Linked DNA regions of Tribolium castaneum. Each later gene encodes a partner of the first gene's protein in a complex. Links are inferred from orthologs where the notes say so. Each region holds a gene or a part of one and is shown in the gene's direction. Other genes may lie near its edges. The genes, in order: WD repeat-containing protein 48 homolog and Usp12-46.

Evidence for each region.
Region 2: WD repeat-containing protein 48 homolog (region 1) and Usp12-46 share a complex: the UniProt entries of both Drosophila melanogaster proteins name them as parts of the usp12-46 deubiquitylase complex. The link is inferred for Tribolium castaneum from reciprocal best matches to the Drosophila melanogaster genes CG9062 and Usp12-46.

Annotation. Positions count from the first base shown.
Region 1 is NC_087402.1:5,165,305-5,169,563, forward strand, and holds the start of WD repeat-containing protein 48 homolog, read left to right. Parts: upstream 1-1,258; 5' UTR 1,259-1,463; coding exon 1,464-1,511; intron 1,512-1,567; coding exon 1,568-1,772; intron 1,773-1,819; coding exon 1,820-2,032; intron 2,033-2,079; coding exon 2,080-2,423; intron 2,424-2,472; coding exon 2,473-2,577; intron 2,578-2,820; coding exon 2,821-3,347; intron 3,348-3,392; coding exon 3,393-3,600; intron 3,601-3,646; coding exon 3,647-3,919; 3' UTR 3,920-4,122; coding exon of another isoform or gene 4,123-4,259. Other genes in the region: uncharacterized protein LOC107397745, read right to left, coding at 61-417, 468-479; adenylate kinase isoenzyme 1, read left to right, coding at 4,123-4,259. UniProt on the Drosophila melanogaster protein: Regulatory component of the Usp12-46 deubiquitylase complex. activates deubiquitination by increasing the catalytic turnover without increasing the affinity of deubiquitinating enzymes for the substrate.
Region 2 is NC_087402.1:3,059,000-3,063,444, reverse strand, and holds Usp12-46 (ubiquitin carboxyl-terminal hydrolase 46), read left to right. Parts: upstream 1-1,451; 5' UTR 1,452-1,594; coding exon 1,595-1,597; intron 1,598-1,737; coding exon 1,738-1,818; intron 1,819-1,866; coding exon 1,867-2,083; intron 2,084-2,132; coding exon 2,133-2,213; intron 2,214-2,262; coding exon 2,263-2,372; intron 2,373-2,426; coding exon 2,427-2,762; intron 2,763-2,973; coding exon 2,974-3,117; intron 3,118-3,173; coding exon 3,174-3,281; 3' UTR 3,282-3,889; downstream 3,890-4,445. Other genes in the region: N(4)-(Beta-N-acetylglucosaminyl)-L-asparaginase, read left to right, coding at 62-179, 234-390, 438-663, 713-900, 945-1,052, 1,097-1,331; RpL21 (large ribosomal subunit protein eL21), read right to left, coding at 3,955-4,434. UniProt on the Drosophila melanogaster protein: Catalytic component of the Usp12-46 deubiquitylase complex.

The DNA of each region.
Region 1 (4,259 bases):
TTAAATCTAAGATGTACGCAGTGAACTACCTTAACCTAATTACAAAAATTTGAAGCGTATTCAGCCGTGAAAACCATGTCCGTAACCAAAACCTCCAAAATTGCCGGAACTGAATCCGCCACTTCCGCCTCCGCCGCTGCCGCCGCCACTGGCGAAGAATCCTCCAGAGTGTCCTCCTCGTCCTCCGCTGCCGCCAGAACCGCCACCGCCGCCACTTGAGAAACCACCTCCGCTAGAAAAACCGCCTCCGTGGCCTAGAGATCCGGTGTGGATGGTGCGAGCGGTGTAAACACTTGAAGTGGCCACGCTGCCACCCCCATGACCGCCGCCGCCGCCGCCTCCGCCTCCACCTCCGCCCCCATACAGAAACCCTCCCTTAACGCAACTTATCGCCACGATGGCGAAAACGGCAACGAACTTAATATTGATTAATTATTATTAATTAATAAATTTCATTAAGGACTTACCAAATGATTCATTCTGAAACAGTGACGAATGAATGGTACCCCATGATTTATATAGTGATTATTTGAAACGTGATACCATTCTTGCACTTGTTTCAATATAACACCATGGTTAAGATCAGTTACTTCTTACCAACGTTGTGCACAATTTAGGGGTCAAATGTAAAAGTGACCTATTTACAATAATTTAAGCTTAGGTACCCGATTTTAATTAATAGAGTGGAATGAAATCTTTAGAAATCTTACGTAAGAATTGTTACACGCACGCGGAAATTAAAATAATTGCTGTGGTACCTAAATCTGCGACTGGTTCTAGAAAATGTTAATGCGTTCAAATATTTGGCAATGTTTTAAATATCAAATAAATAATAATTTCCAAATAAATAATTCTAAATAAATTATTAGAAAAAAAATTTACAAACGGAAAATGTAAATAGGTATGAAGACGACAAATTCAGAAAGTGATTCCAAAAGTAAATATCAATTTTTTACATTCTATTTTAAAGTCCAATCTATCGCAAGAATATCAGAAAAAACCGAATAACTTTTAGAAAAAAACCACCAAATGATAGTCAAGATTCTTGATCTTTTAAAATTCCTAGAAAACAAGTCAAAAATTCATATTAAATTTTCGATTGACGCGTTAATGAAGCGTTCTGATTGGTTCAATTTAGTCATGTGATCACTTATGTAATGAATATTAATTTACAATGACGCTGCTCTAAACCGGTACAAAATTACAAAAATGTTATGGTTATTGTGACGGATGGTCTAGAGTTGAATTATTACTGAAACACAAAACTTTTCGCATTTTTTTAATCATTGCCCCCTAATTACGTGCCGCCACTGCGCTGGCTTCCCAAATGTCAAAATAAAGTCAGACCGTTCTAACCTCAAGTTTTTACAAAGCTTTTCAAAAAAGCTTTTTTTACACTAATCACGCCAATTTATAGCCCATTTCTTTAAATAAAAAATGCCACATTGCTAAACTTCCAAAAAATGGCAAATCTGAAGCCAGGCGGGCAAAATCCGCGAAAAAAAGTCCAGGTTAGTTGTTTACATTCTGTATTTACAAAACAGTTTTTTGCAACAATCTTGGCCAGGTATCAATGGTAATTTGCGAAGCTGAGGAGAAAAGACACAGATCTGGGGTAAATGCCCTTCAGATAGATCCGGCATTAGACCGTTTGTATTCTGCTGGGAGGGACTCAATTATTAGGGTGTATGAACATGAGCGCTATTTACACGGAATGGAGCACCATACTGATTGGGTTAATGACATAGTTCTGTGTTGCGGAGGCCGGCACTGTATTACTTCCCCTTTCGTTTATTTTTTCCTGAATATATTTTTATAGTAATCTCTGCAAGTTCTGACACTACTGTTAAAGTATGGAACGCCCACAAGGGCTTCTGCATGTCAACTCTGCGAACACATAAAGACTATGTGAAAGCCTTGGCTTACGCCAAAGACAGAGAACAAGTCGCGTCTGCAGGTCTTGATAAATCCATTTACTTGTGGGACATCAACACCTTAACAGCACTAACAGCGAGCAATAACACAGTCACTAGTAAGTCCAGAATGTTGTAATACACACACTCACACGAATTCTAATAGCTTCTAGTTTGATGGGCAGCAAAGAATCAATTTATAGCCTAGCAATGAACCCTCCAGGCACTGTTATAGTAAGCGGATCCACCGAGAAAGCCCTCAGGCTTTGGGACCCGCGAAATTGCGTCAAGTTGTTTAAGTTAAAAGGTCACACTGATAACGTTAAGGCTTTAGTTGTGTCAAAAGATGGCACTCATTGCATTTCTGGCAGCAGCGATGGGTCCATCAAAGTGTGGAGTTTAGGGGGCCAGAGGTGTATCCAAACAATCAGAGTGCATAGCGACTCCGTTTGGGCACTTCTGGCCACGGAAAATTTCACTCATGTAATCTCCGGTGGTAGGGACAAGAAGGCAATGATTTTGCACGTTATTTTGAAAAATTTTACCAAATAACTTCCAGGTGATAATGACTGATCTGAAAAACCCCCAGAACAGCGTTGTGGTCTGTGTGGAGGAGGCGCCAGTGCTCAAAATGTGCTTCACGGCAGACCAGCAGGCTGTCTGGGTTAGTAATTTTTTTTTGCATCAGATTTCTTAAAGATTTCCCAATTCCTCAACATTTTCTGTTGTTATTAATACTCAAGGTACAAACAGCTGAACAAAGTTTTTGTAGTTCCAACATTTCTCTTTTTTTATTGTTATTTGGAAGCACATGAGGCAACATTTTTTTTCTATTTATGTTTCGTTTCCCGTTCACGCATTTTATTGTCTGTTATTTATAATTTTTCTTGCTTTCGGGTTTACCTAGGTGTCAACTTCCAACTCCAGCATTCGCTGTTGGAAGTTGCCAACCGAGAAACACTTCAAAGAAGAGGCCAAAATGCCGACATCGCCCATTTCGCTGATACCAGGCGGTGCTGCGATACGTCAGGCCGTCGTTCTCAACGACAAGAGACACATTTTGACCAAAGATGCCAACGATAATGTCGCTCTTTACGACGTTTTGCGTGCGCGAAAAATCGAAGACCTAGGCCAAATCAATTTCCAAGACGAAATAAAAAACCGATTCAAAGTAGTTTACGTCCCGAATTGGTTCAATGTTGATTTAAAGACTGGAATGCTGACGATTCATTTAGGACAGGACGAAGTCGATTGCTTCTCGGCCTGGGTTTCGGCCAGGGATGCGGGAATCAGGGACTGTCCAGACCCCGACCAAAAAGTAAACTACGGAAAATTGCTACTGCAAGCACTGTTCGAGCATTGGAGAGGCGTGGAGAGAGACCCCGAAAATAAACTGTACTTCTCAGTACCCAAACATATACCCTTGATTTTGAGGTAAATAAAGCCTCAAATGACAAATTGCCGTAATATTTTTTGTAGTGAAGTGGGCGGGCGCACGCTTTACCGGGTCTTGGTGGGCGACACAGTCGGAGACACCGAAAATGCGCTCCTGAACGAAACAGTGCCTAATTGGGTTATTTCCATTATTGAGGAGAACAGTACCGGGAAATTCATCAAAGTGCAGTTTTACCTTCAGCCGCACTCTTCGGTCCCGTCTCATTTATTGAAACAAGACAGACTGAAAAAAGTAGCTATTTTTTTTGGTTTAACACTCCTTGAAGTTGTTTTTTCAGCCCGATAGATTGGTAGCCAATGATTTTATCCAGTGTCGCAAAGTTGCCGAACATATTTTGGAGAAATTACTGGGGGATGGAAACGCAAGTTCTCCCGGAGGTGACGCCGATTCGACCACTCCCAGCGGCAACGGGTACAACGTTGATCAAATTGAACTGACCTGCAATGACCAAGTCCTGGACCCAGCCATGGACTTACGAACCGTTAAACATTTCATCTGGAAATCTTCGGCAGACCTGACGCTGCACTACAGGATTGTCAACCCCAAATAATTCATTCCTTACACTTATTTATTTATCCATGATTTTGGTGGACAGATTTATACTAGTTTCTTGTAATCAAACATTTAGCAGTATATGTTTTTCGTATTTGTTTGCAATAAAAATATGTAACACGAAAAATTAAAATAAATTTATTTAAAAAACTTTGACTTGTCATTTTCCCTGTCACATCCGTCTTGTGATCAAAATTGAAAATGTGTTACTTGCCCAACGTGCCTGAAAAGCTTTTCTCAGGCTTCAGCGTTTCAAATTTTTTCCCGCAAGACCCTCTGTGGAAGGAGTTCATCGAAGCGCGTTTGCCTATTTTTTGGATAATCGGACCGTCTTTCTC
Region 2 (4,445 bases), about 2.1 Mb from region 1:
TTGACGCTTATTTAAACAATATTTTTAACACTTATTTTGTAGCTTCTGGATTCACTTTATAATGACTCTCAAATTTTTTATTCTTGTTATTACGATTTTCCTTATTTTCTTCGACAATGCTCACGCTTCTATTCCTATTGCTATGAATACTTGGTGGTTTGATCAAGCTGCGGTAAATGGTAAAGTCGCTTTATTTTTGCAATTTTTTTTTAATTATGTTACTCATTTGTCAGCATTTTTAACTTTGCAAGAGGCTCATTCGACCGCTGTGGACGCTGTAGTAACCGGATGTTCCACTTGCGAAGAACTGCAGTGTGACCACACTGTTGGGTATGGGGGAAGTCCCGACGAAAACGGGGAAACTACCCTTGACGCCATGATATTTGACGGGTTCGTGTACATTTACATTTCATAATTGTTTCCTAATTATATAACAGCACCACAATGAATATGGGGGCTGTTGGTGGTTTGAGAAGAATCAAAGACGCGGCACTTGCCGCAAAAATGGTTCTACAGCACACAAAACACTCATTTCTTGTGGGTGATTTAGCGACTGAATTTGCAAAAAATTTCGAACTGCATGAAGAGAATTTATCTACGAATTATTCCACAAACGTGTGGAAGGAGTGGAAGTCCAGAAAGTGTCAGCCCAACTTTTGGCAGGTACTTACAACACTTTATGATTTTTAATATGATTATAGTGTTAAATCAGAATGTAAATCCGGACCCTACGAAATCATGCGGCCCTTACCAAGCCGATTCAAACGAAATCCTGGCAGATGAGCCATGGAAAATTTTTAATTCCGATAACCATGACACAATTGGCATGATTGCCATAGATGAGTGTGGGAACGTTGCAGCGGGGACTTCAACGAACGGAGCCAGTCACAAAATCCCAGGGTATAATGTTAAACGCTCTCAATCGGTTTAATTGATTTTTTCAGACGTGTCGGGGATTCCCCCATACCTGGGGCGGGCGCGTACGCCGATAGCACAGTCGGGGCGGCTGTGGCAACAGGCGATGGCGACGTAATGATGCGATTTTTGCCCAGGTTCTTTTTTAATAATTATTTTCAAATATTAATGCTTGTGATAGTTTTTTGGCAGTGGAGGAGATGAGACGCGGCGCCTCGCCTGCGAAAGCAGCCCAAACGGCCATCGATAGAATTGCGGAAAAATACCCCGATTTTTTCGGGGCTGTTTTAGTGAGCACTAACAAGGGGGAATTTGGGGCTGCCTGTAACGGAATGGATTCGTTCCCGTTCTGTGTGGCGAGCGAAGCGCTCGGTGGAGTGGTCGTGAAGACAGTTAATTGCACCAAAAAGGCATGAAAGCTGTTATTGTAATTACTTTATTCAAAATAAATAAATTTGGATCGATTTTTGTTCGTCTGTTGTCCTTTTTCCTGCGTCTCTCTGTCTTTAAGTGTTGGGGAAATTCGGTATCGCGATGTTTGTGGGCATGTCGCCTGTCACTTTCTGTTATCATGGGTTGTTTTACAGCTGTCAAAATGCAATAATGGGGAAGTTTTGTGATTTAAAAGTATTGTTTTTGGACGTTTTTAACATAAACGTGATGGATTAGTTATTAAAATATGGTAAGTGCAAAGGCCACGAGAGAGGTTACCGCAAACCGAGCCCAACTTTCGAGTCAAACATGAACTAACCACAATTTAATAATGTCACTGTGTCATAATTAATTATTTTATTGAGTTAATTGTATTTTAATCAATTGTAGGGTGCGAATATATCCCAGCTGGAACGAGATATCGGCTCTGAACAGTTTCCTTCTAATGAACATTACTTTGGTTTAGTAAATGTGAGTTGCTGAGCTTGGGTGTTTTCCCACTGACTTGTGCTGTTGCAGTTTGGAAATACGTGTTATAGTAACTCGGTTCTTCAGGCTCTATACTTCTGCAAACCTTTTAGAGATAGAGTTTTAGAGTACAAAGCGAAAAATAAGAGGACTAAAGAAACTTTGCTTACATGTCTTGCAGATTTGTTCCACAGCATTGCGACGCAGAAAAAGAAAGTAGGCTCTATTGCACCAAAAAAATTTATAGCAAGGCTACGAAAAGAAAAAGGTTTGTTGGCATGTTTTTTTAAACCGGTGTTTTTACTTGAGTCTTGTAGAGGAGTTTGATAATTACATGCAACAGGATGCACATGAATTTTTAAATTTTTTAATCAACCATATTAGTGAAATAATTCTGGGTAAGTCGCGTTCTTTAGTAATGCTCCCTTGACTTACAATAAATTACAGCTGAAAGACAACAAAACTCAACCACAAACAACATAAAATCAAAAGCAACGGGAGAAAATGGAACTGCACACACAACTCCTGAGCCCACTTGGGTACACGAGATTTTTCAGGTACTGTTGTTCGATTTGTTGGGTTAAAACTCACAAATTTTTTATTCCATGTAGGGTATATTGACAAGTGAAACTAGGTGTTTGAATTGTGAGAATGTGAGCAGTAAAGATGAAGACTTTTTTGATTTACAAGTGGACATCGAACAGAACACTAGTATAACTCATTGTTTGAGGTGTTTTAGTAATACAGAGACTCTGTGTAGCGATAATAAATTTAAGTGTGATAACTGCAGTAGTTACCAGGAAGCTCAAAAACGAATGAGGGTGAAGAAACTGCCGATGATTCTTGCATTGCATCTCAAGAGGTTCAAGTACATGGAACAGTACAACAGGCACATTAAGGTCTCACACAGAGTTGTGTTTCCTTTGGAACTGAGACTTTTCAACACAGTAAGCAATTTGTTTAAATACCACCAGTTAACTAATTACTTGAGCTTTTGCACTCTTAATAGACTAAAATTTTCATAAGAAACATGAGAGAAAAATTATTCAAAATTTGCGCTTCGTTCCGTGTTTTTCAAAACACTGCGAATACGGTTAAAGATAAATGTCCGAGATTTTAATAATTTGAGTTTGAGCTACAGTTTAATTGTGTTTTCAGTCGGACGATGCAGTTAATCCCGACCGATTATACGATTTAGTAGCTGTTGTGATACATTGCGGAAGCGGACCTAACAGAGGCCACTACATCAGTATAGTCAAGAGCCACGGTTTCTGGCTGCTGTTTGACGACGACCAAGTTGACGTAAGTTTAGTGCGTATTTGAGAATTCCCGATGGTTATTATTGTGCTTTTGAATAGAAAATAGACGCTTCAACAATAGAAGATTTCTACGGCCTCACGTCTGATACTCAAAAGTCTTCAGAAACAGGCTACATCCTTTTTTACCAGTCTCGAGAGAGTTTATGAACTCTGCTGCTCCTTGCCTTAATCATTGAGAGGATTTAATACAAGTACAAAGTCACCTCTCATTGCATTGGGACGGGTAATGTTTATGAAAAAAGTCTGTAAATATGATTTGAAACTGAAAATTGTTGGATTTATATTTTATTTATTGCATATTGTAGTTTCCGGCCGTACTTTTTTCCTAAAATTTTTCTTTCAAAGCGATTTACCCGTACTTTTCGAAACGAATCGACGTTGATTTTGTTGTTCTGTTGCAATAAATAGCGATATGTTGAAAACAAGATTTACTTTATTGTGGTGGAACAGCATAGGAATAATTGACTGTATGGTGAATTTTACTTGTTTACTTAATTTGTTTTTTACAAACCTTATATTTATTCCAATTAGCAATAATTCTTAGGTGGTAACCAAACCGTGCATCTAATTTAGCGAGTATTATGTCCCCTACACGGTAAAAAAGTAAAATTCACTCTTCTTATTTTGTTAACAAATACTATACAACTTTTAAATATTATATGAGAAACTAGAACATACTGTATAAATGCTGCTAAGCAGATTTTATTTTTATTCTGTAAATATTCGTTAGATATAAATATATTTGAAAAAATGCACTGACTCGTTTCATTTCAAACACCCAAATTTGTTTTATGTCTTTATTACACAAAAGGCGTACAAATTAAGCAATAAATTCATATGGGATAGGAGCCAATTGAACGGCTGGTACTTTCCCACTGACGATGTGTGCAGGCCTTGGCTGTGCTGGCTGTCTCTTCAAATTCACTCGAATGTTCTTCTCCTTAGCTTCTTTTCGCAATTTTTCGTTTTGTTTCACTCTGGTCAAGAAGTCTTGCCTGCACTTGGAGTGATTCACGTGCTCAATACGGATATTGATACGTTTGGGGATAATACGGCCCCCAACACGCTTGTTAACAATCACACCCAAAGCGTGAGCCGTCACATTGAACACACGGCCAGTTTTCCCATGGTACACCTTGTAGGGCATGCCCTTCTGAACGGCTCCATTGCCCTTAATATCCACGATATCGCCGACTTTGTACACTTTCATGTACGTCGACAGGGGGATAACCCCATGCTTGCGGAACTTCCGAGAGAACAGGTCCCGGGTTCCCCTACGATAACCTTTCGAGTTCGTCATTTTTCAGACCT